4 linked regions of the Anolis sagrei genome follow. The protein of the gene in region 1 interacts with the protein of each later gene in a pairwise test. Links are inferred from orthologs where the notes say so. Each region holds a gene or a part of one and is shown in the gene's direction. Other genes may lie near its edges. The genes, in order: GNAI1, RIC8A, RGS19 and GPSM3.

Region 1 (7,732 bases):
CAGAGGACAGGAGCAGAATTCAAAACGATCTTGACAGGTTAGAGAGATGGGCCAAAACTAACAAAATGAAGTTCAACAGTGACAAATGCAAGATACTCCACTTTGGCAGAAAAAATGAAATGCAAAGATACAGAATGGGGGACGCCTGGCTCGAGAGCAGTACGTGTGAAAAAGATCTTGGAGTCCTCGTGGACTACAAGTTAAACATGAGCCAACAATGTGATGCGGCGGCAAAAAAAGCCAATGGGATTTTGGCCTGCATCAATAGGAGCATAGTGTCTAGATCTAAGGAAGTAATGCTACCCCTCTATTCTGCTTTGGTTAGACCACCTCTGGAATATTGTGTCCAATTCTGGGAACCACAATTCAAGAGAGATATTGACAAGCTGGAATGTGTCCAGAGGAGGGCGACTAAAATGATCAAGGGTCTGGAGAACAAGCCCTATGAGGAGCAGCTTAGGGAACTGGGCATGTTTAGCCTGAAGAAGAGAAGGCTGAGAGGAGATATGATAGCCATGTATAAATATGTGAAGGAAGCCACAAGGAGGAGGGAGCAAGCTTGTTTTCTGCTTCCTTGGGGACTAGGACGCGGAACAATGGCTTCAAACTACAAGAGAGGAGATTCCATCTGAACATTAGGAAGAACTTCCTGACTGTGAGAGCCGTTCAGCAGTGGAACTCTCTGCCCCGGAGTGTGGTGGAGGCTCCTTCTTTGGAAGCTTTTAAGCAGAGGCTGGATGGCCATTTGTCAGGGGTGATTTGAATGCAATATTCCTGCTTCTTGGCAGGGGGTTGGACTGGATGGCCCATGAGGTCTCTTCCAACTCTTTGATTCTATGATTCTATGATATGATATGTTATCCCACATATGATGTTATGATATACTATTCCCACATATTCCCCATATAATTTACATTAGAGTTGTCCATATCTCTTTGGAATACTTTAAACTGTTTGGCAGAAATGACAGTAGGCAACTCTTTCCACAGCAAACCTGTTGACAAGGTGACTCATTGCTTCAGTTATTGCCTTAGAGAAGGCTCAGCAATTGGCAACTGCTTCCCCAAACATGGCCCAGTTTTCTAATTGTCAAATCATGGGCAAAGATGAACGTTTAGAAAAGTGAATGTTGTCACAAAGGGACTTACCAGCTCCTGAATGTGTCACCCCCTCCCCATTTCTCAAAGTGGCCTGCTACTATTATTTGCTGTTGATACATAGAACGTGTCATAGAATCAATCAATCAATGATTTATTACGGTCTTTGACCAGCACAGAATAGAATGGGGCACAGGAGCCCAAGGAAGGGAATCGCAGTTCCCAAGTAGGTCAGATAAAAAGCAGATTAAAAACATGTTATAAAAGACGCAGATTAAAAAGCAGACTAAATTTACAGTTTAAAGTGCATGTATGAATCTAAAATAGGGGGGCGGCTAATACAAATATCAGACAACTAGGAAGCTCTAAAAAGGGATGAGAGCGGAGCATTTACAGCATTTCAGTTATTAAAAATCATTCTAACTATATTCCCGGCAGGAAGTTGCCTGGTGGAGTCGGTCATCAGCCGTCTAATGTTAATTGCTGCTGCACAGAACTTGGCAACACTGTAGGTTGTCGCAGAGCAAGAGTCCGAGAGCAACAGGGAGGTGTAATATCTTTCGGTGCGCCGTGGATGTTTTAAAAGCCATGGAGTGATGAAATTAGCTCTAATGTCTCTATAGAATGCACATTGGAGGAGCACATGTTCAGTTGTTTCAATATAGCCAGACTCGCACGGGCATAGTCTCTCCTGGGCAGGGGTCTTCCGGTACCTCCCCTCCAGTACTGCCAATGGAAGGGCATGGCATCTTGCCAAAGCGAAAGCTCTTCAGTGTTTAGGCACCTCCAGGTTTGCTAAGTAAGCCATGGGAGCGATGAGATATCTGCTATCTTCGCTAATGGTGAATGCTGGAGAGCAGGCTAAGTCTGATTGTCGCTCTATATCCTGGATCCATTTTCTAATAAGATCCTTGGCTTGGTCCCATCCCATACCTAGCAGTTGTCCTTGAGAGAAGCCTAGAGTTGCAATTTTGACTGCCTCTACCTTATTCCATGTAGACTGAAATTCATCTCTCAGAGTTAATGGAGCAAGTCCACATGTTGAGAAAGACAGATGCAGCCAATAATTGAGGGTGGCTGTCCACAATCTCGCCTCCACTCTCACGAGGCCTGTCTCTAGTTGCAGGGGGAGCTGCATCGCTGATCTTAGAAATTTTGATTGTACTTGCTGCAGAGGGGCATAGTTTGAGAAGGGACTGAGTTGGGCTCCATACATCATAGAATCATAGAATCAAAGAGTTGGAAAAGACCTCATGGGCCATCCAGTCCAACCCCCTGCCAAGAAGCAGGAATATTGCATTCAAATCACCCCTGACAGATGGCCATCCAGCCTCTGTTTAAAAGCTTCCAAAGAAGGAGCCTCCATCACACTCCAGGGCAGAGAGTTCCACTGCTGAATGGCTCTCACAGTCAGGACGTTCTTCCTCATGTTCAGATGGAATCTCCTCTCTTGTAGTTTGAAGCCATTGTTCTGCGCCCTAGTCTCCAAGGAAGCAGAAAACAAGCTTGCTCCCTCCTCCCTGTGGCTTCCTCTCACATATTTATACATGGCTATCATATCTCCTCTCAGCCTTCTCTTCTTCAGGCTAAACATGCCCAGCTCCTTAAGCCTCATAGGGTTTATTCTCCAGACCCTTGATCATTTTAGTCGCCCTCCTCTGGACACATTCCAGCTTGTCAATATCTCTCTTGAATTGTGGTGCCCAGAATTGGACACAATATTCCAGGTGTGGTCTAACCAAAGTGGAATAGAGGGGTAGCATTACTTCCCTAGATCTAGACACTATGCTCCTATTGATGCAGGCCAAAATCCCATTGGCTTGTTTTGCCACCACATCAGGCACAGTCAGCCCATTGTATGCTAATCAAGGTGGTCAGTTGAAACATTCATACCTAGCTCCAGCAGACAAGAATCCTTTGTCTTATAAATCTATATTGCAATAATCCCCTGTCATGCGTTGCTGTGGCCCAATCTGGTAGTCATGGGGGTTCTGTGTGGGAGGTTTGGTTCAATTCTATCATTGGTGGGGTTCAGAATGCTCTGTGATTCTAGGTGAACTATAAATCCCAGCAACTGCAACTGCAAGATTCTATTTTCCAGTGTTCACATTTGGGCATCTTGAGTATTTGTGTAAAGTTTGGTGAAGATCCATAATTGTTTGTGTCTGTGTGGGAAATTTGCCCCAATTCTGTCATTTGTGGGATTCAGAATGCTCTTTGATTGTGGGTGAACTATAAATCCCAGTAACTACAACTACCAAATGCCAAAGTCTATCCCCCCCCCCAAAAAAAAAAAAACTCCACCTGAGTACATATTTGGGCATACGGAATATTTGTGCCAAGTTTGGTCCAGATCCATCATTGTTTGAGTCCACAGTGCTCTGTAGATGTAGGTGAACTACAACTCCCAAACTCAAGGTCAATGCCCAGCAAACCCTTTTAGTCTTTTCCGTTGGTCGTGGGAGTCCTGTGTGTCACCTTTGGTTCAATTCAATCATTAGTGGAGTTCAGAATGCCCTTTGATTGTAGGCGAACTATAAATCCCAGCAACAACTCCCAAATGACAAAATCAATTTTTTGAGTGAAGGATATTTATTGGGTTGTTAGGTGTCTTGTGTCCAAATTTGGTGTCAATTCTTCCAGTGGTTTTTGAGTTCTGTTAATCCCACAAATGAACATTACATTTTTATTTATATAAGAAGAGGGTCTGGTGAACAAGCCCTATGAGGAGCAGCTTAAGGAGCTGGGCATGTTCAGCCTGAAGAAGAGAAGGCTGAGAGGAGATATGATAGCCATGTATAAATATGTGAGAGGAAGCCACAGGGAGGAGGGAGCAAGCTTGTTTTCTGCTTCCTTGGAGACTAGGACGTGGAACAATGGCTTCAAACTACAAGAGAGGAGATTCCATCTGAACATGAGGAAGAACTTCCTGACTGTGAGAGCCGTTCAGCAGTGGAACTCTCTGTCCCGGAGTGTGGTGGAGGCTCCTTCTTTGGAAGCTTTTAAACAGAGGCTGGATGGTCATCTGTCAGGGGTGATTTGAATGCAATATTCCTGCTTCTTGGCAGGGGGTTGGACTGGATGGCCCATGAGGTCTCTTCCAACTCTATGATTCAACATCAATGCCCAGCAAACCCTTCCAGTCTTTTCTGTTGGTCATGGGAATCCTGTGTGCCGGGTTTGGTTCAATGCCATAATTGGTGGAGTTCAGAATGCTCTTTGATTGTAAGTTAACTATAAGTCCCAGCAACTACAACTCTCAAATGACAAGATCATTTTTTTTTGAGTGAAGGACATACATTGGGTTGTTAGATGTCTTGTGTCCAAATTTGGTGTCAATTCTTCCAGTGGTTTTTGAGTTCTGTTAATCCCACAAACGAACATTACATTTTTATTTATATAGAAAGAAGAAGATGATTCTAGGCTCCTTGATTCACACTGCAGTGAAGGAGTGAAAAATTAGTCCAAAGCCCACCGCTCTAGGAGCGCTCCCCTCCGCCTCTCTGTTGTCGACTCCACTCCCAAAAGTGGCAGAGGTCCAGGCGTCCCCCGCCCCCCTCTTCGCACATGCGCAGTGCACGCCTAACCGTCGCTCTTCACTTTCTCCCTCTGGCACGGGCGCGCGCGCGCTCTCGAGGGAGGCTCGGCGCTCGCGCTCGCGGGCGGACTGGCGCGTGAGATATAGAGGCGGCACTGCTGCTGGTGCTGCGCGTGAGGGGAGGAGGGTTTCCCTCCCGCAACACCCCAAAACAACAACAACGTCGTGTGTGAGGGAAACCGAAAGAAGGAGACGGCGCCCCCCCCTCCCTCACTTTCCCCCGTTTGGCTTCTCTGACTCAGTCACTGGGCACTTTTGAGCACCCCCCTCCCCTCCCCTCGCCTCCCCTCCAAGGACTTCAGCTGCTTTGTTGGTTTGGAAAGGGCGGCCTCTTGGTGTTTGTATTTGGACCATGGGCTGCACGCTGAGCGCCGAGGACAAGGCGGCGGTGGAGCGGAGCAAAATGATCGACAGGAACCTGCGGGAGGACGGAGAGAAGGCGGCGCGGGAAGTCAAGCTGCTCCTCCTGGGTAAGGTGGCTCCCTTCTCGCCTGGCTTGGCTTTCCCCCTTTCCTCCAAGACCAAGGTTGGTTGGGGGTTGGATGCTTCCTCTGCGGAATTGATGGGATGTGGCGGCAAAAAATGCCAATGGGATTTTGGCCTGCATCAATCTAGATCCAGGGAAGTCATGCTATCCCTCTATTCCGCCTTGGTTAGACCATACCTGGAATATTGTGTCCAATTCTGGGCACCACATTTGAAGACAAGCTGGAATGTGTCCAGAGGAGGGCGACTAAAATGATCAAGGGTCTGGAGAACAAGCCCTATGAGGAGCGGCTTAAAGACCTGGGCTTGTTTAGCATGCCACTCGTCCAGCACCCAAGGGGCTTCCTTGGAATTTGGTGGAAAAGAGTAGTAAATTTGTGTGTCATCTGCATAGAGATGGCAACCAACTCCAAAACTCTAGATCCAGGAAAGCCATGCTACCCCTCTATTCTGCCTTGGTTCGGCCACACCTGGAATATTGTGTCCAATTCTGGGCACCACAATTCAAGAGAGATATTGACAAGCTGGAATGTGTCCAGAGGAGGGCGACCAAAATGATCAAGGGTCTGAAGAACAAGCCCTATAAGGAACGGCTTAAAGAGCTGGGCATGTTTAGCCTGACACTCGTCCAGCACCCGAGGGGCTTCCTTGGAATTTGGTGGAAAAGAGTAGTAGAGTTGTGTGTCATCTGCATATAGAGATGGCAACCAACTCCAAAACTCTAGATCCAGGGAAGTCATGCTACCAAACGCAGCATCGCCCAAACACGAATCAAGGAACATGAAAGGCACTGCAGACTACTTCAACCAGAGAAATCAGCCATAGCAGAGTACCTGATTTTGGCCTGCATCAATAGAAGCATAGTGTCTAGATCTAGGGAAGTCATGCTACCCCTCTATTCCGCTTTGGTTAGACCACACCTGGAATATTGTGTCCAATTTTAGGCACCACAATTCAAGAGAGATATTGACAAGCTGGAATGTGTCCAGAGACGGCAACTAAAATGATCAAGGGTCTGGAGAACAAGCCCTATGAGGAGCGGCTTAAAGAGCTGGGCTTGTTTAGTCTGACACTCGTCCAGCACCCGAGGGGCTTCCTTGGAATTTGGTGGAAAAGAGTAGTAGAGTTGTGTGTCATCTGCATAGAGATGGCAACCAACTCCAAAACTCTAGATCTAGGGAAGTAATACTACCCTTCTATTCTGCTTTGGTTAGACCACACCTGGAATATTGTGTCCCATTCTGGGCACCATATTTGAAGAGAGATATTGACAAGCTGGAATGTGTCCAGAGGAGGGCGACTAAAACGATTAAGGGTCTGGAGAACAAGCCCTATGAGGAACGGCTTAAAGAGCTGGGCATGTTTAGCCTGACACTCGTCCAGCACCCGAGGGGCTTCCTTGGAATTTGGTGGAAAAGAGTAGTAGAGTTGTGTGTCATCTGCATAGAGATGGCAACCAACTCCAAAACTCTAGATCTAGGTAAGTAATGCTACTCCTCTATTCTTCCTTGGTTATACTACACCTGGAATATTGTGTCCCATTCTGGGCACCACATTTGAAGAGAGATATTGACAAGCTGGAATGTGTCCAGAGGAGGACGACTAAAACGATTAAGGGTCTGGAGAACAAGCCCTATGAGGAACGGCTTAAAGAGCTGGGCATGTTTAGCCTGACACTCGTCCAGCACCCGAGGGGCTTCCTTGGAATTTGGTGGAAAAGAGTAGTAGAGTTGTGTGTCATCTGCATAAAGATGGCAACCAACTCCAAAACTCCGGATAGCAAAGTGTCTAGATCCAGGGAAGTCATGCTACCCCTCTATTCCACCTTGGTTAGACCACTGCTGGAATATTGTGTCCTATTCTGGGCACCACATTTGAAGAGAGATATTGACAAGCTGGAATGTGTCCAGAGGAGGGCGACTAAAACGATTAAGGGTCTGGAGAACAAGCCCCATGAGGAGCGGCTTAAAAAGCTGGGCTTGTTTACCCTGACACTCGTCCAGCACCCGACTTAAGGAGCTTGGAATTTGGTGGAAAAGAGTAGTAGAGTTGTGTGTCATCTGCATAGAGATGGGAACCAACTCCAAAACTCTAGATCCAGGGAAGTCATGCTACCAAACGCAGCATCGCCCAAACACGAATCAAGGAACATGAAAGGCACAACAGACTACTTCAACCAGAGAAATCAGCCATAGCAGAGCACCTGATTTTGGCCTGCATCAATAGGAACATAGTGTCTAGATCTAGGGAAGTAATGCTACCCCTCTATTCCGCTTTGGTTAGACCACGCCTGGAATATTGTGTCCAATTCTGGGCACCACAATTGAAGGGAGATGTTGACAAGCTGGAATGTGTCCAGAGGAGGGCCACTAAAATGATCAAGGGTCTGGAGAACAAGCCCTATGAGGAGCGGCTTAAGGAGCTGGGCATGTTTAGCCTGAAGGAGAGAAGGCTGAGAGGAGATATGATAGCCATGTATAATAATAATAATAATAATAAACTTTATTTGTACCCGGCTACTATCTCCCCAAGGGACTTGGTGCGGCTTACA
Region 2 (7,538 bases), on another chromosome or scaffold:
AAATTCCCATTGCCGTCATAGAAAGTCATGCTGGTAGTTTACATGCATTTCAATAAAAACAGTGTCTCATATAACCATTTTATATTCTTTAATGCCACACTCTTTTTCTACTGCTGTCCAGCCAGGATCCATAATTGGAGAACTTTGCTTAACCCCATGTAACCACCATTATTACTATTACTATTATTATTGCTCTTCTTCTTCTTCTCCTCCTCCTCCTCCTCCTCCTCCTCCTCCTCCTCACCAATACCCCGCTTTATCTCTCCCAAAGGAGACTCAAAGTGGCTTACATTAAAAGTATGACCACATAATTTTAAATATAAAAATATGCAAATATTAAAACAGAATTAAATGTAACAGTATTAAAAAAAATCAGTTTCCACACATAACCACCCAAAATGAAAGCAGAACAAATGGAGAAACCAATAATGGAAATACAGGGTTGGAATATCCCTTATTCATAAATCCCCAAATCCAATCTCAGCACAATGGCTGAGAAAGTAACATCTTTGTTTTTTCTAAGGGTTCAATATGTCCAACCTGGTTTCACGCACAAAATTATTTTAAAAAAAATCTTTGTATATAAAACAACCTTGAGGCTATATATGCATGTATGAATCATAAATGAATGTTGTGGGTGTCACATCTCCATGATGTCTCATTACTGATAGGCAAGGATTTTAGAATCTGAAAAAATCCAAAACACAGCCATCCCAAACATTTTGGGGAAGGACAGAAGTCCACTGAAATAAGAAAGTAGCAAGACATTTGCTTTCTGATGGATCAGTATATACGAACTTTGCTGCATGCCTGAAATTCTTTAAAACTGTTTATGAAAGGACTCTTAGGCTATGTAAAGTTATTCTTAACTTGTAGCCTTCCTTTTGATTGTAAGGATAGGAATAAACAATAAATAAATAAGCCAGTGACTCAACAAATTAAGCAAAGTTTTTGAATACTGTTTATATTTAATCCTGTTTTAATGTTTGTATATTTGTAAATGTTTATGCTGATGCTTTTATATTGAGTTGCTTTGAGCTGCCTTCAAGGGAGATAAAGCAGGGTATAAACAAACATAACCACAATAATAATAATAATACTAATTGTATATTTGTAAAAGATTATGCTGATGCTTTTATGTCAAGCTGCTTTTAGTCACCTTTGGGGAGATAAAGTAATAATATATTATAAGTAACAAGTAATAATATAAGTAATATAAGTAATAATAGCAACAACAACAATACTTGTATATTTTAAATGGTTATGCTGATGTGTTAATGTCAAGCCACTTTTAGTTGCCTTCGGAGAGATAAAATGGGGTATAAATAAACATGATTTTTTTTTGTCGTGTCAGGAGCAAGTACCTTCTGTTGTGAGAGAATTGGCTGTCTGCAAGGATGTTGCCCAGGGGATGCCTGGATGATTTTGATGTTTTTATCATCCTTGTGGGAGGCTTCTCTCATGTCCCCGCATGAGGAGCTAGAGCTGACAGAGGGAGCTCATCCGCCTCTCCCCAGATTCGAACCTGCGACCTGTCGGTCTTCAGTCCTGCCGGCACGGGGAGGGGGGGTTTAACCCACTGCGCCACCGGGGGCTCCTTAATGATGATGATGATGATGATGATGATGATGATGATGATAATGTATCATAAATGAATGCAAAGACTCTGGCACAAGCCAGTAAAGGTGGTCCCAGTGGTGATCGGCACACTGGGTACAGTGCCTAAATACCTTGGCCTGCACTTAAAAACAGTCGGCGCCTACAATATTACCATTTGTCAGTTGCAATAGGCCACCCTACCTGGTTCTGCATACATTATTTCCTAATACATCACACAGATACTTGGGATGTGTCTGAAGTGTAATCAAATACAAAAGCCAGCACAGCGTTCTTGCTTGCTGTGCACTAATCTTTTTGTGTATCAAATAATAATGTATAATAACATATATACACATATATACAAATGAAGCAAATGAATGTCCTGTTTAGCTTTTGAGTCCTATCTCTAGGATACCTAATTTAATATAGGTGAATATGCCACAATCCAAAATACTTCTGGTCTCAAGAATTTCCGGCATGAATAATTCCTTTTCTTTTTATTCAGTGGGTCTACACTTGTGAACTAATGCAGTTTGAAACAGATTCAACTGCCATGACTCAATGCTATGGAGTTAAGATGGGCAATACTGTGCCTGACTCACTATTTCAGCTGTCAAAGGGCATTTCTGTGAAAGAAAACAAAGGAGACGTGGGGGGAGAACCATTTAAAGCAGGCCTGGGCCACCTTCGGCCCTACAGGCTGTTAGGAATGGTGGGAGTTGAAGCCCAAAACACCTGGAGGGCCCAAGTTTGCCCAGGCCTGCTTCAACGGGAAGGAGGGCCCTCTCCCCAAAACAAAGGGAAGGCTTAACTAGGGCAGAACGAAGGGCGCCCACTCTCCTCCTCCCTCCGAGGCCTACCGCCTCCCCTCAGACACCGCTCCCTCCCTCCCTTCCTACCTCGGCCCCAATCCGCCATGGCTGCCTCTTGCCTCCGTGTCCCATCCGGAGCCAAGGCGAGAGGCGGTGCCAAGGAGGGCAATCGATCTGCAAACGAACCAATCAGGGAAGAGGGCAAGGAGGCCGTGGGGCGGGGATTGGATAAGCGCCTCCCCCGAGAGCGGAAGAGTGCGGCTTAGACCGCCATTTTTCCAGAGGGCATGCTCCCTGAGTGGGAATGGGCCGCCATGTTTCTTGAGGGCAGGAACAGGAAGTGGCTGCCCTTTGGATTCTCCGCCTCGGGCATCCAAGAGCATTGGCCCCGCCCCTGTTTGTGACGTAGGTTGCTGCCTCTGTAAGGTTTACAGAATGATAGAGCTGGAAGGGAACCCTAGAGGCTATCCAGTCCAGCCCCATTCTTGGCAAATTAATTACAAAAAAAATAAACTATAAAAAGGGGGAACCAAGTTTCTTGGTTTCTCTTCTGTCCTTACACAAATCTGGTTTCTTCCCCCCCCCCCTCTAAATATCTTCTGTCCTGCCTGTCTTGGAGTGCATCTACCAGGCATGGGCCAACTTGGGCCCTCCAGGTGTTTTGGACTTCAACTCCCACAATTCCTAACAGTACCTAACAAAATCAGCACTGTAAATGAAGAACAACACTCAAAAACAGGGGAGTTTCTTGTCTGGAGACAAGAAACAATCAGGACCAGCTAATCACCTCCCAACAAAGGATTCCCCCAGGCAGTATGAAGCCAGACCTTGAAACAGCTAGGCCACTGAATACTAACCAAGGTAGTCCATTGAAACATTGAAACGTTTTTTCTCCCACTTTGGACATTCCACATAAACCCCATTTTCCTAGTTTCCTCTTGTCTGTTTGAGCCAAGTGTGAATGTTGCAATTGGCCAGCTCGATTAGCATCAAATAGCCTTGCAGTTTCAAAGCCTAGCTGCTTTGCCTCACGCAGACAAGAGTTCTTTCTCCCACCCTGGACATTCCACAGAAACCCCATTTTCCTAGTTTCCTCTTGTCCATTTGAGGCAAGTGTGAATGTTGCAATTGGCCAGCTTGATTAGCATCGAATAGCCTTGCAGCTTCAAAGCCTGGCTGCTTTGCCTCACACAAAGCAGACAAGAGTTCTTTCTCCCACCTTCCACCCTGGATATTCCACAGAAACCCCATTTTCCTAGTTTCCTCTTATCTGTTTGAGGCAAGGGTGAATGTTGCAATTGGCCATCTTCATTAGCATTGAATAGCCTTGTAGCTTCAAAGCCTAGCTGCTTTGCTTCACACATGCCTCAAGCAGACAAGAGTTCTTTCTCCCACTTTGGACATCCCACAGAAACCTCATTTTTCTAGTTTCCTCTTGTCTGTTTGAGGCAAGGGTGAATGTTGCAATTGGCCATCTTGATTAGCATCGAATAGTCTTGCAGCTTCAAAGCCTGGCTGCTTTGCCTCACACTTGCCCCAAGCAGACAAGAGTTCTTTCTCACACCTTGGACATACCACAGAAACTCAATTTTCCTAGTTTCCTCTTGTCCGTTTGAGGCAAGTGTGAGTGTTGCAATTGGCCAGCTTGTTTAGCATCAAATAGCCTTGCAGCTTCAAAGCCTGGCTGCTTTGCCTCACACTTGCCCCAAGCAGACAAGAGTTCTTTCTCCCACCTTGGACATTCCACAGAAACCCTATTTTCCTAGTTTCCTCTCGTTTTTTGATGCAAGTGTGAATGTTGCAATTGGCCAGCTTGATTAGCATCGAATAGCCTTGCAGCTTCAAAGCCTGGCTGCTTTGCCTCACGCAGACAAGAGTTCTTTCTCTCACTCTGGAGTATCCACAGATATATAAACCCCATTTTCCTAATTTCCAGCAGACCCCACAACCCTTGAGGATGCCTGCCATAGATGCAGAGGGAACGTCAGGAGAGAATGCTGCTGGAACATGGGTCCTACAGCCCGGAAAACTCACAGCAACCCAGACTTTAGCATCCTCTGCCAAAGAGTGCTGGTGTCCTCCGGCAACTGGCGCCCCCTCTTGGCTGCCTTTCCTTCCTTTTGGCTTCCCTTTCTTGTCCTGGGGGAAGGAAGGAAGGAGGAGGCAGCAGCAGGGAATGAGGCGAAGAGACTGACTTCCCACCACAAGCAGCTCGGCTGCAAAGGAAGGTACAAGCCGCCCTTCCCCTTCCTGGGGTTCCCTTGGGTTCCCCAATAAATGGGGTGGCTGGGCTTGCTGGGAGGAGGGTTGCATACTGATATGATCCCAATCACGATGATCATAATATGTCACTTTGTATCTTGGATTAAGGAAACCAGATTGGGAAATGTTTCCTAACCACTCCCCTTTTGTAAAGGTAGGTAGATATCTGGGCAAGACTGGAATCCAATGGGTTTTTGGAGGATGTAAACAAGGCTTGGCTAAATGAAACCTTGGATGCGCGTACACTTTAGAAGAAATCCAGCTTGACACCACCTTAAATGCCATCACTCAATGCTCTGGAACATGAGAGTTGTAGTTTGATGAGGCACCAGCACTCCCAGGCAGAGGAAGCCTTATAAAACTACAGCTAAAGTGGTGTCAAACTGCATTATTTCTACGGTGTAGATGTTATGGATGGCGTGATTTTAATGCTGAATGTAATTTTTTAAATTTTTAAATTATGTATTCATTTTAATTCAGTGGATTTTAAGCTTAATGTTTGTATGTCTCCTATGCTATGCTAATAATGTAATATAATGTAACATATTGTATATACATATAATATTTATAATATTATAATGTAATGCAATATAATACTACTATTAATAATATGATATTATAATTATATATTTATATTACATGTAACATTACTAATAATATTACAATATAATGGTATAGTACAATATAGTAATATTTTAATATTGTATATACATATAATATTTATAATATTATAATGTATTGCAATATAATACTAATAATAATATATTATAATTATATATTTATATTACATGTAATATTACTAATCATATTACAGTATAATGGTATAGTACAATAAAGTAATATTTAATATTGATATTGTACTTTGCTAATAATACAATATATTTTATGTATATATATCTTGTAAGTGGCTCTGAGTCCCCTTTGCAAATAAATAAATAATATGTGTTTAAAGCATTGAATAATTACCATATGTTGGCTGCCTTCAATCCCCCTTGGGGTAGAGAAAGATGATATAAATAGGGTAAATAATTAAATACATTATTGATTCTTGTGAATTCTTTGTGATGCCAGAGTTATATTTTCATATTAGATATAATTTAAATTAATTTTAAGTGAGTTGTTTGTTTAATTTGATATGTGGTTGTAAACTTGATTTATGTGCATTTTAAAGTGATATACATTCACTTTTTTGGGATTTGGGCGGTTTGTTAATGCATTTGTATTTGTTATTCTTATTGTATAGGCATTAAATGTTTTGTTTTCCTTCTGTTGTTGGAATCTGCCCTGAGTTCTCTAGGAATACAAATAAAGCTATTATTGTTGTTGTTGTTGTTGTTGTTGTTGTTGTATTGTTGAAGGCTTTCATGGCTGGAATCACTGGGTTGTTGTAGGTTTTTCAGCTGTATGGCCATGTTTTAGAAGCATTCCCTCCTGACGTTTTGCCTGCATCTGTGGCAAGCATCCTTAACCTCACAGCCCAAAAAACCTACAACAGCCCATTATTATTATTATTATTATTATTATTATTATTATTATTGTCATCCCAGGTCTGATTCCAGACCTACATTTTTGTTCATAACAAGTCCAGGCTTGACTTGTGTAAAATATTAAATAATTTCTGAATATCTGTTTCTGCTAGTGCACTCAACAATGTTTATATTGACCCCTATAGGGGAAATACACCTGCTGAGTTGCATCTCTTACCTGAAATTCTGAAATACTCCAAATTTGAAAATAGATGGCCAAGAGACTGGCATCTCTGCTTTTTGGTAGTTCAATGCACACAGACTTCAAACAGATTTAAAATATGTGTGACATTATCTTCAAGCTATGTTTATAAGGCAGGCATGGGCAATCTTCAGCCCTTCAGGTGTTTTGGATTTCAATTCCTACAATTCCTAGCAGCTGGTAGGCTGTTAGGAATTGTGGGAGTTGAAGTCCAAAATACCTGGAGTGCTGGAGTTGGCCCATGCCTGCTATAAAGTATAAATGAATTAGGTGTTTAGATTTTGGGCCCATCTTAATATATGTCTTAATCAAATGTATATGCAAATATCCCAAAATCTGGGGGGGGGGGGGGGGGATCCAAAACACTGTAGCCTCAGACATTTTGGATAAGGGAAGCTCAGTCTATTACCAAATTACAGAATATGTACCAATTTATGCAAAAGTGTTGATCATAGAATCATAGAATGATTGAGTTGGAAGAGACCTCGTGGGCCATCTAGACCAACCCCCTGCCAAGTAGCAGGAAAATCACATTCAAAGCATCTCAACAGATGACCCATTCTTCTTGAAAGCCTCCAAAGAGGGAGCCTTCACCATACACCGGGGCAGAGAGTTCCACTGCTGAACAGCTCTCACAGCTAGGAAATTCTTCCTAATGTTCAGATGGAATCTCCTTTCCTGTAATTTGAAGCCATTGTTCCACATCCTATTTATTTATTTATTTATTTCACAGTTTTGTATACCAAGCTTCTCAACCTCGTTGAGGGACTCAGCCCGGTTTACAGCCATAAAAACATATACATTCATTAAAATATCATATATCACAATTACAAAAAACTTTAAAATAACACTATGTCTAAAACTACTGTGGTCAGTCGTCCTATTAAGATGGATCTACATCAACTTCCATCCAGGGTCCTATGGTGTTGTCTCATTCCTCGAAGGCCTGACTCCACAGCCACGTCTTCACCCATTTCCTAAATGTTAGGCTGGATGGGGCGGTTCTGGCCCATCCTAGTCTCCAGGGCAGCAGAAAACAACCCTGCTCCCTCTTCCCTATGACTTCCCCTCACTTATTTATACATGTCCCTCATCATGTCTCCTCTCAGCTTTCTCTTCTGCAGGTTAAACATGCCT
Region 3 (7,228 bases), on another chromosome or scaffold:
ATAAATAAAAAGGTAAAGGTTTCCCCTGGCATACAGTCTAGTCGTGTCTGACTCTGGGGATGGTGCTCAATTCCATTTCTAAGCCAAAGAGCCTGCATTGTTCATAGATACCTCCAAGGTCATGTGGCCAGCATGACTGCATGAAGCACCGTAGCCTTCTCGCAGAAGCGGTAACTATTGATCTGCTCACATTTGCATGTGTTCAAACGGCTAGGTTGGCAGAAACTGGGCCTAACAGTGAGAGTTCACTCCGCTCTCCGGATGTGAACCGCACACTTTTTGGTCAGCAAGTTCAGCAGCTAAGTGGTTTAACCCGCTGCATCACCAAGGGGGCCCAAGTAGATAAATAGGTACCGCTTAATTTGGAAGGTATATTACATGGCACCATAAGGAAATATATATATATATGAAATGCAGGCTATTCAATCAAAGGAGGAAGTCTGTGGACAGGGCTCTTTGGCATATTGGATGGAGCAAGAGCACCCCCTGTGGCCAGAATCGAGCACAACCTCCAAGATGCCGAAGATGGGAAAGCCATATATACCTCTAGGAGCCCTCAGTGGCAAAATGGGTTAAAGTGCTGAGTTGCTGAACTTTGTGATCGAAAGGTTACAAGTTTGAATCCGGGGAGCGGTGTGAACTCCCGCTGTTAGCCCCAGCTCCTGCCAACCTAGCAGTTTGAAAACATGCAAATGTGAGTAGATCAATAGGTACCGTCTGCGGGAAGGTAATTGTGCTCCATGCAGTCATACCAGCCAACATGACCTTGGAGGTGTCTATGGACAACGCCGGCTCTTCAGCTTAGAAATGGAAATTTATTTATTTATTTATTTAGAACTTTTATATACCGGTCTTTTATATACCGGATGTTCTTGTACAATCTCAAAAGCCCAGCAGCTCTCCCAACTAGGTATGAAAAGGGTTCTCCATCCTTGATCCAAGATTAAGATCCAAGACAACTCAGAAGCAAGTCCAAACGGCAGAGGGAAAGTGCCTGGCCATGCAGGAGTAACTTCCCATGGAGAGATAAGGGGGGAAGGGAGGGAGGGAGGGGGGAAGGGAGGGAGGGAGGGAGGGAGGCAGGAAGGGGAAGGGGAAGGGAAGGAAGGAAGGAAGACAAGGTTAGACCACATCTGGAATATTGCGTCCACTTCTGGGCACCATTATTGAAGGGAGATGTTGACAAGTTGCAATGTGTCGAGGAGGGCGACTAAAATGATCCTTAGTCTTCCATCTAAGGCTAAGAGCCCTTCTACACAACCATATAACCCAGAACATCAAGGCAAATAATCCACAATATCTGCTTTGAGCTGGATTATCTGAGTACAGATTGCCATATAATCCAATTCAATGTGGATTTTATACAGCTGTGTGGAAGAGGACTCAGCCTCCAAGATCAGATGGGATCTGCTGCCTTTCGGGTATTGTAGACCCATCATTCATTCATTCATTCATTCCAGAAGTGTATTGTTTCTGTAGGGATGGTTCCACTAGGCAGGAGGCCCCAGGTTGTTGGCATGTCGGACATTCATATTGCTTTTGCAAGAAGAAATCTGTTTTGGAAGGGGGAAAACCCATTTGAAGGAAGATGCTGATAAGATGGAATGTGTCCAGAGGAGGGCGACTAAAATGATCAAGGGTCTGGAGAACAAGCCCTATGAGGAGCGGCTTAAAGAGCTGGGCATGTTTAGCCTGCAGAAGAGAAGGCTGAGAGGAGACATGATTGTTGTTGTTCATTCGTTCAGTCGTCTCCGACTCTTCGTGACCTCATGGACCAGCCCACGGCAGAGCTCCCTGTCGGACATCACCACCCCCAGCTCCTTCAAGGTCAGTCCAGTCACTTCAAGGATGCCATCCATCCATCTTGCCCTTGGTCGGCCCCTCTTCCTTTTGCCTTCCACTTTCCCCAGCATCATTCCCTTCTCTAGGCTTTCCTGTCTCCTCATGATGTGGCCAAAGGACCTCAACTTTGTCTCTAGTATCCTTCCCTCCAGTGAGCAGTCGGGCTTTATTTCCTGGAGGATGGACTGGTTGGATCTTCTCGCAGTCCAAGGCACTCTCAGAACTTTCCTCCAGCACCATAGTTCAAAAGCATCGATCTTCCTTCGCTCAGCCTTCCCTAAGGTCCAGCTCTCACATCCGTAGGTGACTACAGGGAATACCATGGCTTTGACTAGGCGGATCTTCGTTGCCAGTCTGATGTCTCCACTCTTCACTATTTTATTGAGATTGGACATTGCTCTCCTCCCAAGAAGTAAGTGTCTTCTGATTTCCAGGCTACATTCTGCATCTGCAGTAATCTTTGCACCTAGAAATACAGTCTGTCATGGCCTCCACATTTTAGACATAATAGCCATGTATAAATAAGTGAGAGGAAGTCACAGGGAGGAGGGAGCAAGCTTGTTTTCTGCTGCCCTGGAGACTAGGACACGGAACAATGGCTTCAAACTACAAGGAAGGAGATGTCACCTGAACATTAGGAAGAACTTTCTGACTGTGAGAGCCGTTCAGCAGTGGAACTCTCTGCCCTGGAGTGTGGTGGAGGCTCCTTCTTTGGAAGCTTTTAAACAGCCCTATGAGGAGTGGCTTAAAGATCCCTATGAGGAGTGGCTTAAAGAGCTGAGAATGTTTAGCCAGAAGAAGAGAAGGCTGAGAGGAGACATGATAGCCATGTATAAATATGTGAGAGAAAGTCATAGGGAGGAGGGAGCAAGCTTGTTTTCTGCTGCCCTGGAGACTAGGACACGGAACAATGGCTTCAAACTACAAAAAAGGCGATTCCACCTGAACATTAGGAAGAACTTTCTGACTGTGAGAGCTGTTCAGCAGTGGAACTCTCTGTCTCAGAGTGTGGTGGAGGCTCCTTCTTTGGAAGCTTTTAAACAGGGGCTGGATGGCCATCTGTCAGGGGTGATTTGAATGCAATATTCCTGCTTCTTGGCAGAATGGGGTTGGACTGGATGGCCCACGAGGTCTCTTCCAACTCTTTGATTCTATGATTCTATGAAATACAAGGTATGGATAAGGAAACAAGCCAAACCCTTCTTGGGCTTCTAGAGAGCAAACCCTATACCTTATTTGTTGCAACATGGAAGTTGTGCTCCCCATGCTCTATTCTGCTTTGGTTAGACCACACCTGGAATATTGTGTCCAATTCTGGGCACCACAATCCAAGAGAGATATTGACAAGCTGGAATGTGTCCAGAGGAGAGCGACTAAAATGATCAAGGGTCTGGAGAACAAGCCCTATGAGGAGCAGCTTAAGGAGCTCGGCATGTTTAGCCTGAAGAAGAGAAGGCTGAGAGGAGATATGATAGCCATGTATAAATATGTGAGAGGAAGCCACAGGGAGGAGGGAGCAAGCTTGTTTACTGCTTCCATGGAGACTAGGACAAGGAACAATGGCTTCAAACTACAAGAGAGGAGATTCCATCTGAACATGAGGAAGAACTTCCTGACTGTGAGAGCTGTTCAGCAGTGGAACTCTCTGCCCCGGAGTGTGGTGGAGGCTCCTTCTTTGGAGGCTTTTAAACAGAGGCTGGATGGCCATCTGTCAGGGGTGCTTTGAATCCAATAGAATGGGGTTGGACTGGATGGCCCATGAGGTCTCTTCCAACTCTTTGATTCTATGATTCTAATGGCTTCAAACTACAAACTACTGAACATTAGGAAGAACTTTCTGACTGTGAGAGCTGTTGAGAAGTGGAACTCTCTACCCCAGAGTGTGGTGGAGGCTCCTTCTTTGGAGGCTTTTAAGCAGAGGCTGGATGGCCATCTGTCGGGGGTATTTTGAACGCAATTTTCCTTCTTCTTGGCAGAATGGGGTTGGACTGGATGGCCCACGAGGTCTCATAGAATCATAGAATCAAAGAGTTGGAAGAGACCTCATGGGCCATCCAGTCCAACCCCATTCTGCCAAGAAGCAGGAATATTGCATTCAAACCACCCCTGACAGATGGCCATCCAGCCTGCCATGAAGCAGGAATATTGCATTCAAATCACCCCTGACAGATGGCCATCCAGCCTCTCTTCCAACTCTTTGATTCTACAGAAAATCTGTCAGGAGATGCATTGCAGAGGTGAGTGTGTTTCCCCTCCTTGGACTCCTCTGGGCTGCTGTTGCAAGCTGCATGAAGGCTCATCTTCTCTTTTTTTTTTTTTTTCCCCGCCTGGGATTGCCTTGCAACCGGGGAAAGGCCGAGGAAAGCAGCCAAGCGGAGGTGGGCAGAAGGAAGACCTTCTCCTTTTTTCCCCCCTTCTCGCCCAGATCCTGCCAAATATAAATAAATAAAGCGGAGCAGGCAAGGAAGTGCAAAAAAACAGCCCTTTGCTTTCGGAAGTCAATCGCCGGGGCTGGGGGACGCCTGCGCAGTGGAGAGACCCTGCCAGCCAGTATTTTTCTTCCCCTTTTTTTGATTTTTTTTCCTCTCTCTCCAAGTGGCTTCCCCACCTCCACCTCTTCCTCCTCCCTTGGCACCCCTTCTTCCTCCCCAAAAAGGGAGCTAAAAAAGAAGAGGCGGCGGAGGAAAAAAATAGGGGATTGGAAAGGGAAAAAGGGACGGATGTGCGGCAGGGATCTCGGATGCACCAAACGTGAGTCCCCAAAACCCCCTGAGTTTGGGTTGAGTGCCTTTGCCAAAAGGGACCTCCATTGGAGAGGGCAACTCTGCCCAGGATTGGGCAAAAGGGAGGGGGGTGAGGGGGGGGAGGGAGGTGTTTCCTTGGGAGTGAAATCGGATCCAACCTGGCTGAGGCTCCCTCGCCTTTTCCTCAGTTTCCTGTGCTGCTTCTCCTGCTTTTCCTCTCCTTTTTGGATGAGGTTTGGCTACATCTGTATCTTGGGAAGGGACCTGGGCCCTTTGGCAAAGCCGAGGGGAAGGGGAGAAGGGGCCGAAGGAGAAACAGTCTTGCAAAGGAGAGATATATTCACAAATGTATTAAATTTAGGAAGGGAAAGGCAGGCGCGTGTTGTCGGGTGAATGCATCAAGTGTGCGGCCGGATTGCAATAGAGGGGAAACAGGGAGGGAGAGCTTGCTGGCGTGGAATGGGAGAGGAAGACCTGGGTTTGGGGTCTCCCCTTGAACCCCCCTCCTTCTCTTCTTCCTGAGGTTCCTACCAGGTAGGAAGAAGGCATGCCATGGTCTGCAAGGCTGGCTCCTAATGAGAGCCATGTGCCAGGTTTGGCCAAAGAGGCTCAAGGCAAAAAGGAGAGAGATGTTTGGGGCGATGGCAGAGCAAGGCGTTGAGTGCCATTAAGATCCCTTTGGGAGGAACCCCATCAGGGCAACCAGTTTCTTCCTCTTGAAGGGTCACCTTTCTTGTACCCCAAACCTTTTATTCAGGTGGCTTCCTTTCCTTGCCTCTTGGAGGGCAATACCTGGGGACCCACCAGATCAAAGGCTGCCTGAGGCTTCACAAGGCCAGTCGCAGGAGTTTTGGTCTTGCAAATCCATCTCTTTACAACAGTAGGGCCTTCCACACAGCCCTCTATCCTGGAATATCAAGGCAGGAAATCCCACATTATCTGAGTATGTACTCAGATAACGCAGGACCCTTCCACACAGGATATCATGGCAGGAAATCCCACATTATCTGAGTATGGACTGAGAGAACGCAGGGCCCTTCCACACAGCCCTATATCCCGGAATATTGAGGCAGAAAATCCTACATTATCTGAGTGAGGACTCAGATAACGCAGAACAGCCTTATATCCTGGAATATCAAGGCAGGAAATCCCACATTATCTGAGTGTGGACTGAGCTAACGCAGGGCCCTTCCACACAGCCTTATCTCCCAGGATATCAAGGCAGAAAATCCCACATTATCTGAGTGTGGACTCAGATAACACAGAACCCTTCCACACAGCCTTATCTCCCAGGATATCAAGGCAGGAAATTCCACATTATCTGAGTGTGGACTGAGATAACACAGGGCCCTTCCACACAGCCTTAGATTCTGGAATATCAAGGCAGGAAATCCCACATTATCTGAGTGTGGACTGAGATAATGTAGGACTCTTCCACACAGCCCTATATCTCGGAATATCAAGGCAGAAAATCCCACATTATCTGAATGTGGACTGAGATAATGCAGGACCCTTCCACACAGGGTATCAAGGCAGGAAATCCCACATTATCTGAGTGAGGACTCAGATAATCCAGGCCCCTTCCACACAGCCCTATATCCTGGAATATCAAGGCAGGAAATCCCACATTATCTGAGTGTGGACTCAGATAACGCAGGACCCTTCCTCACAGGATATCAAGACAGAAAATCCCACATTATCAGCGTGTCGACAGATAACACAGGGCTCTTCTACACAGCCCTATATCCCAGAATATCAAAGCAGGAAATCCCACATTACATGAGTGTGTACTCAGATAACGCAGGGCCCTTCCACACAGCCCTATATACTGGAATATCAAGTCAGGAAATTCCACATTATCTGATTGTGGACTGAGATAATGCAGGACCCTTCCACACAGGATATCAAGGCAGGAAATTTCATATTATCAGAGTATGGATTGAGATAACGTAGGGCCCTTCCACATAGCCCTATATCCCGGAATATCAAGGCAGAAAATCCTACATTATCTGAGTGAGGCCTCAGATAATGCAGAACAGCCTTATATCCTGGAATATCAAGGCAGGAAATCCTACATTATCTGAGTGAGGACTCAAATAATGCAGAACAGCCTTATATCCTGGAATATCAAGGCAGGAAATCCCACATTATCTGAGTGTGGACTCAGATAACGCAGGACCCTTCCACACAGGATATCAAGGCGGAAAATCCCACATTATCAGCGTGTGGAGAGATAACACAGAACCCTTCCACACAGTCCTATAGCCCAGAATATCAAAGCAGGAAATTCCACATTACATGAGTGTGTACTCAGATAATGCAGGGCCCTTCCACACAGCCCTATATACTGGAATATCAAGACAGGAAATCTCACATTATCTGAGTGTGGACTCAGATAACGCAGAACTCTTCCACACAGCCCTTTATCCCAGAATATCAAGGCAGGAAATCCCACGTTATCTGAGTGTGGACTCAGATAATCCAGTCCAAAGCCGATATTGTGAGATTTTTTGCCTTGATATTCCTGGGATATAAGGCTGTGTGGAAGAGCCCCCAGTTCCAAGCAGATATTGTGGGATTTTCTGCGATATAGGACTGTGTGGAAGGGCAGCCCGGAAAACTCACAACAACCCAGTGTGTGG
Region 4 (7,455 bases), on another chromosome or scaffold:
GAATACTGTGTCCAATTCTGGGCACCACAATTGAAGGGAGATGTTGACAAGCTGGAATGTGTCCAGAGGAGGGCGACTAAAACGATCAAGGGTCTGGAGAACAAGCCCTATGAAGAGCAGCTTAAAGAGATGGGCATGTTTAGCCTGGAGAAGGCTGAGAGGAGACATGATGGCCATGTATAAATATGTGAGGAGAAGTCATACGGGGGGGGGGGGGGGAGCAGGCTTGTTTTCTGCTGTCTTGGAGAATGGGAAGCAATGGAACAATGACTTCAAACTACAAGAAGGGAGATTCCACCTGAACATTAGGAAGAACTTCCTGACTGTGAGAGCTGTTCAGCAGTGGAACTCTCTGCCCCAGAGTGTGGTGGAGGCTCCTCCTTTGGAGGCTTTTAAACAGAGGCTGGATGGCCATCTGTCGGGGGTGCTTTGAATGCAATTTTTCTGCTTCTTGGCAGAATGGGGTTGGGCTGGATGGCCCATGAGGTCTCTTCCAACTCTTTGATTCTATGATTTTAATCTAAAATTACAAAATCAAAGTATGCTTTTTGGATTGTTTAAAATATGTTTTCAAGTTGTGGATTATGGAATCTATAGCTGCAGAATCCCTGGATACAGAGGGTGGATTTACTTATGCTTTTTATATATACCTATACACTTAACAGAAAGGCAGTGTGGTACCCAATAATATTAATAATTTTGTGCACTAAACAAAGTTAGTGCTCATTGAGCCATTAGAAAGCAAAGGCATCACTCTCTCAGCTACCCTTGTGGATTATTTCAGATTCTGGAGACTTAACTTCCATTAGGTATTTTGGCAGAAGATAGATTTCAATGTTCTGAGCTGCTATTCTGAAAATCAGGCCATATTGGGAAATAGCCATGATGAAATGGGCAAATCTTTGCGTAGCTGCTTTCTGCAGCTGTTTATCTCCAGAATCCTGCAAATCTTTTGGGAAGACAGGCAGATCAATGTCAGCATGCTGGAAGAAGCAAAATCACCAGCACTGAAATGATGCTCCTATGCCATCAACTCTGCTGGCGTGGCCACGTTGTCCAAATGCCCAAAGATCACCATCTCCCAAAGCAGAAGCAACTTGAGAAACTTTGTGTCAGGAGCGCCTTGAGAAACTGCAAGTCATTTCTGGTGTGAGAGAATTTGCCGTCAGCAAGGACGTTGCCCAGGAGAATCTTGGATGTTTGTTGTTTTACCATCCTTGTGGGAGGCTTCACTCATGTCCCCCACATGGGGAGCTGGAGCTGACAGAGGGAGCTCAACCCGCTCTTCCTGGATTCGAACACTGACCTGTCAGTCAGCAGTCCTGCCAGCACAAGGATTTTATTCATTGCACCACTGGAGGCTCCATTCCTAAAGCAGTTACTATACTCCCAACTGAAGAATGAAAAACATAATGTTGGTGGACAGGAAAAGAGATTTTAAAATGGGCTTAAAGCTAACCTTTAAAAACTGGCATAGACACAGCGAACTGGGAAGCCCTGGCCCTTGAGCACCCTAACTGGAGGTCCAACAAAGATTAAGCCAAGAGGATCTTTAAATTGGGACTATAATTATGTGTGCATGTTTTTAACCAACTTGGTTCCAGGAGCAGATATTGGCTTGCTGGCAGGACAAATGCTCCTCCTGCAGAAAGTCCTGAATTCATAGTCTTTAGCTTGCTCTGCTAAAACTACGGGGCCCCGGGTGATGGCACAACCCTAGGGTGCCTGTGCCAGGCAGTCAGCAGGTCCAGCTGTGCCATCTGACAGAGCAAAGTGGATGCCTGAGGCCAACACTCCTACAAGTCATGAGAGGGCAGCAAATTGCAACTGGTTACATTGATTTGCACTGTGTTGCAAATCACCTCCAAGGGAGAGATGTTTGTAGGAATTTACGCCTTGGGTGTCAAAATAATTTGATCAACATCAGGATCTTGGTACTTTGCATAGCAGCGATGAAGTGGTCCAGCGTCATTCATATTTTGCTGGAGGTCCTGCCAGTCATAGCAGAGATGTAGATTATCTGGCATTTATAAGAAAACAGTTTTCCAGTGTTTATCCTGTTGCTGATATGGCATGGGATTGATCGCATGCCTGTTTTAAGCATGTCTCCTCCACTGAATGAAGGTTTTTATTCTCAGTTTTAACCCTGTAGTACTTCGCTCTGAGCTGCAAGCAAAAGATGCTATTATTCTGTTGTTGAAGGCTTTCATGGGTCTTCAGAATCACTGGATTGCTGTGAGGTTTCTGGCTGTCTGGCTATGTTCCAGAAGCATTCTCTCCCAACGTTGCACCCACATCTATGTCAGGCATCCTCAGAGGTTATGAGGTCTGTTGGAAACTAGGAAAATGAGGTTTATTTATTTATTTATTTTATTTCAATTACTTTTACCCCACCCTTCTCACCCCAAGGGGGAACTCAGGGCGGCTTACAGACGAAGGCACAATTCGATGCCTGAATCAACTAACAAATAATACAGAAAAACAATTCAAACAGTTAACAAATTAAAAACATCAATACATAATAACATAGCAAAACAATCTCATGCTCAGTGTTCAGAGTCCGTATATCTATTCCATTGCATCTGTCCTTATTTATCGTCAGATTCTTTAGCTGCCAGAATGTCCAAAGGCTTGGTCCCAAATCCAGGTCTTCAGTTTTTTCCTGAACGTCAAAAGGGAAGTCGCTGATCTAATCTCCCCAGGGAGTGAGTTCCACAGGTGAGGGGCCACCACTGAGAAGGCCCTGCTCCTCGTCCCCGCCAACCTCACTTGTGATAGTGGCGGGGTTGAGAGCAGGGCCTCCCCAGATGATATACCTGTGGGATGTCTGGGGAGGGAGAAAGACCTCTTGTCTGCTTGATAAAATACAGCTATATTTATTGTTTTTGTTGATGCTATTATTATTATATTAATTATTATATTAATTATTATTATATTTATTATTATTATTTGAAACACAACAAGATGAGTCCACAGCAGACACTCTGCTGGCTGTTGTATTGGATGACACATCGGACACTTCCCAATTGTCTAGGACTGTGTGATGTATCGGCGAATAATGTGTGCAGATCCCAGTAAGGTGGCCTTCTGCAGCTGGCAGATGGTAATTTTGTCAGTGCCGATTGTGTTTAAGTGCAGGCCAAGGTCTTTAGGCATTGCACCCAGTGTGCCAATCACCACTGGGACCCCCTTTACTGGCTTGTTCCAGAGTCTTTGCAGTTCAATCTTTAAATCCTCATATCGTGTCAGCTTTTCCAGTTGTTTCTCTTCACTCCTGCTGCCACCTGGGATTGCAACATCGACAATCCATACTTTGTTTTTTAACACAATTGTGAGGTCAGGAGTTCTTCTTCTTCTTCTTCTTCTTCTTCTTCTTCTTATTATTATTATTATTATTATTATTATTATCCGCTGGATAATGGAGAAAGGCAGGGAGTTTCAGAACAACATCTATTTCTGTTTTATTGACTATTCTAAAAGTGTTGACTGTGTGGATCATAATAAATTGTGGCAAGTTGATGGTATGGGGATACCAAGTACCCTTGTCTGTCTCCTGAGGAATCTGTATAACAACTATGTAGCAACAGTAAAAACAGAATGGTTCAAGATTTGGAAAGGAGTATGGCAGGGCTGTCTACTCTCACCCACCCTACTTAACATATCATGCAACTTGCAGGGCTTGATGAATCCAAGGATGGAGTTAAAATTGCTGGAAGAAACATTAACAACCTTAGATATGCAGACGATACCATTTTGAAGGCTGAAAGAGTGGAGAAGATGAGGAGCCTTCTAACCAAGCTGAAAAAAGAAAGTGCAAAAGCTGGGTTGCAGTTAAACATTTAAAAAACCAAGATTATGACAACCAGGCTGATCCATGAGGTCATGAAGAGATGCTATTTTAAATTGTAAGTCGCTCAGACCACCTTGCTGGAGAGCGACTAATTAAGAAATAAAGTGAAGCGAAGTGAAGTGAAGGTGATCAGTTGAAACATTCACACCTAGCTCCAGCAGGGAAGAGCTCCTTGCCCCACCCCAGCCATTCCACAGATATATAAACCCATTGTCCTAATTCCAACAGACCTCACTACCTCTAAGGATGCTTGCCATAGATGCAAGCGAAACGTCAGGAGAAATGCCTCTAGAACATGGCTCTATAGCCCGAAAAAACCCACAAGAACCTAGTGATTCCAGCCATGAAAGCCTTCGACAATACATTGAAGTGAAGTCACTTCATTCTGAGAAAGCTTCACACACCTGGCTCTTTCGCTTGTCTCATTGGTTTTGAGACCAATGGGAAGAGAGACAGAAAGAAAGTTGGCGTGAGAAACATACTATATAGCAAGAGCAGGAAGCGGTAGTAGCTTCCCGTGTAGAAATAAGAGGCGTAGCCAGCCAAACAGATCAAGCAAAACCAAGAAGGAAGGAGAAAAGTGACAGTAGGCTGAGTCTCCTGAAGACAAAGCAACAGTCACACAAAAGAGAAGGAAGATGGTCATTTGGCACAGGCGCCAGTGGTGGAAATAATACGAGAGGGGCACAAAAGGTGAGCACAATGGTAAAAATGGGATTTCCAAGACTGGAGTGATCAGTAGCCAAGAATGGGTGAGTCTATAGAATGAATGCAGTTTGATGCCCCTTTTACCACTTGATCAATGCTATAGAATCAAAGGGAGCTGTAGTTTTACAAGGTCTTTAGTCTTTTCTGTCAAAGAGTATTGGTTCCTCACCAAATTCCAAATTACATGATTCCATAGCGTTGAGCTAAGGCAGTGAAAGTGGCATCAAACTGCATTCATTCTATATTGAAGATACACTCAAGGTAGCTGGGTGTTGTGGAAGTATAATGAGTTATTTGTTTTTTTGGCTCAATGCTATGGTATCTTGGGAGCTGTCATTTGATGAGGCACCAGCACTCTGATGGAGAAGGATCAAGACCTTGTAAAACTTCAACTCCCATGATTTGATGTCATTCTATTTTTAACTACTGGAGCTTTATTTATTAGCTAAGACAGTAGTTCTCAACCTTCCTAATGCCATGACTCCTTAATACAGTTCTTCATGTTGTGATGACCCCCAAACATAAAATTATTTTCATTTCTACTTCACAACTGTAATTTTGCTACTGTTCTGAATCGTAATGTAAATATCTGATATGCAGGATGTATTTTCATTTACAGGATGAAATTAGGCACAAATACCCAATATGCCCAAATTTGAATACTGGTGGGGTTGCGAGGGGGGGGGGGATAGATTTCATAATTTGGGAGTTGTAGTTGCTGGGATTTATAGTTCACCTAATCAAAGAGCATTCTGAACTATGTGGCCAGCATGACTGCATGGGTCACTGTTACCTTCCCACCAAGGTGGTACCTATTGATCAACTCACATGTGCATGTTTTTGAACTGCTAGGTTGGCAGAAGCTGGGCCTAATAGCGGAAGCTCACCCTGCTCCCTAGATTTGAACTGCCAACTTTTCAGTCAGCAAGTTCAGCAGCTCAGTGGTTTAAACCTTTGTGCAATCAGGGGGCCCACCGCCTGGTATTGTATGCAAATTGTAATATGACACTATATAGTGAAATAAGCATGTGCAATGCCAACTAGTTGATGTAACCATTTTCATATTGAGCAAAAAAAAAACAAAACACCCAAGTATTTCACACATAACCAGTTAGGATCTTTGTATGCTGATGAAGGGAAAATCTGATGCTATAAATATCATGTTGAAACTTTTGCTCAGCATTTGGTCCTTTGAGAAATCTCTCTGAGTTTAGGCCTTCTTGCAAATTGCTGTCCGGAAGCTGCTGAGTGATTTCCAATATTTGGTGTGATCATGGACCTGATGCACCGAGCAAGGAATTTGCCAGCTCTAATAATAATAATAATAATAATAATAATAATAATAATAATAATCCCAGTGGTGATCAGCACACAAGGTGCAGTGCCTAAAGGCCTTGGCCTGAACTTAAACACAATCGACGCTGACAAAATTACCATTTGTCAGCTGCAAAAGGCCACCCTACTGGGATCCGAACACATTATTCACTGATTGGGAAATGTCCAACATGTGATCTAATACGACAACCAGCGCTGCGTACTAATCCTGCTGTGTTTCTAATAATATTAATATTAAGAATAATAGTAATAGTAATAGTAATAATGTTATTTGTTACCCATCTCCTCATGTCTCAATGCAGGACACAACACATAATGCATCCCCATAAAATCCATACAATAACATGCATGCATTAAAGCACATTTCTATAAAATGCACATATTAAAATGCAGGGTACAAATATTGCAATGCAATAATGATAAATTTAAAATTCATGATTTAAAACTGGGTTTAGTGGCCATATTCCAAACCCCCTAAAAACCCCAAAATCCTAAGCACATCTGTTCTGAAGCATTGTGGCAAGGGGATTCCTGTTTAGTTATCATCTATTGCTGACCCTTTTGGATTATACACCTTATTTCCTTAGACCTGAATTTTCCATATACCTTTAATGTATTTTTACAGTAAACTGATTGCTTATACTCAGGACTCTTGTGTGGTGCTGTGGTCATCGGTGGCTTCAGGCCTGGGGTGCAACACTCAAATACAAGTTGATACCACTGTGAGTTGTATTTTGTTGCATCACCAGCTATCTTGGGCAGAGATGACGAAAGGTCTTGTAAAACTATGGCTTCCAGGATTCAATAGCATTGACCCATGGCAATTAAAGTGGTGTCCAACTGTATTAATTCTAAAGCATATATGGTGTGTGGGTGGGAGCTTAATCATTTTGGCTTCACCACGGTTCCACTTGGATTTGGGGCTTTCATGCTTGTGATTCGGGATGATAAAGGGGGGAAATGGACATTAAGAGGAACATTCCTTCCATGAACAGTCGTGGGCAGAGGTAAAATGTGAAAGCCTTTTCTTCCATGACATTGCCCCGTGAAGGCAATTTGCATCCTTGTAACCAACTCATATCACACTTGGTTGGGTCCAACAGTGTGAAATATTCACCCACAACGGTTGCATTGCAATCCACAGGAGAGTTTTCTGTTGCTTCCTGCTGCCTGGGGAGGAAAAAATACCTTATGTGAGGCACTGCTTGCAACACCTTGAACTCTGTGACTTCCCAAGCGGTTGCAAAACATCTCTTTTCCCAAGTGCCTTTTATTTGCCATAGCAAAGAGATTCTGAGCATGTGCAGAGTCAGCATCAACTGCAACGTTTTTGGCAACGTTGAAATATTTCTAATGGTGATGATCACACAATTCATGTGGCTTCTAGCTGACTCTGACATGTGAGAAGTTTCTAGGAATGATTTATTCCAAGTAGGTTCAATAGCTCCTTCCTCTTAGGGCAGTGTTTCTCAACCTTACTAATGCCACGACCCCTTAATACAGTTCCTCACGTTGTGGTGACCCCCAACCATAATATTATTTTCATTGCTACTTCTTAACTG

What was found.
Region 2: the proteins of GNAI1 (region 1) and RIC8A interact in binary tests that used the Homo sapiens proteins (3 or more experiments, as listed by UniProt). The link is inferred for Anolis sagrei from reciprocal best matches to the Homo sapiens genes GNAI1 and RIC8A.
Region 3: the proteins of GNAI1 (region 1) and RGS19 interact in a two-hybrid assay, tested with the Homo sapiens proteins (2 studies listed by BioGRID). The link is inferred for Anolis sagrei from reciprocal best matches to the Homo sapiens genes GNAI1 and RGS19.
Region 4: the proteins of GNAI1 (region 1) and GPSM3 interact in binary tests that used the Homo sapiens proteins (3 or more experiments, as listed by UniProt). The two-hybrid records come from large-scale screens. The link is inferred for Anolis sagrei from reciprocal best matches to the Homo sapiens genes GNAI1 and GPSM3.

The regions. Positions count from the first base shown.
Region 1 is NC_090025.1:87,691,113-87,698,844, forward strand, and holds the start of GNAI1 (guanine nucleotide-binding protein G(i) subunit alpha-1), read left to right. Parts: upstream 1-4,727; 5' UTR 4,728-5,047; coding exon 5,048-5,165; intron 5,166-7,732. UniProt on the Homo sapiens protein: Guanine nucleotide-binding proteins (G proteins) function as transducers downstream of G protein-coupled receptors (GPCRs) in numerous signaling cascades.
Region 2 is NC_090021.1:237,757,197-237,764,734, forward strand, and holds the start of RIC8A (synembryn-A), read left to right. Parts: upstream 1-4,538; 5' UTR 4,539-4,639; intron 4,640-7,538. Other genes in the region: BET1L (BET1-like protein), read right to left, coding at 2,499-2,517.
Region 3 is NC_090024.1:237,536,873-237,544,100, forward strand, and holds the start of RGS19 (regulator of G-protein signaling 19), read left to right. Parts: upstream 1-4,216; 5' UTR 4,217-4,593; intron 4,594-7,228. UniProt on the Homo sapiens protein: Inhibits signal transduction by increasing the GTPase activity of G protein alpha subunits thereby driving them into their inactive GDP-bound form. Binds to G-alpha subfamily 1 members, with the order G(i)a3 > G(i)a1 > G(o)a >> G(z)a/G(i)a2.
Region 4 is NC_090022.1:16,759,375-16,766,829, forward strand, and holds the start of GPSM3 (G-protein-signaling modulator 3), read left to right. Parts: upstream 1-4,436; 5' UTR 4,437-4,543; intron 4,544-7,455. UniProt on the Homo sapiens protein: Interacts with subunit of G(i) alpha proteins and regulates the activation of G(i) alpha proteins.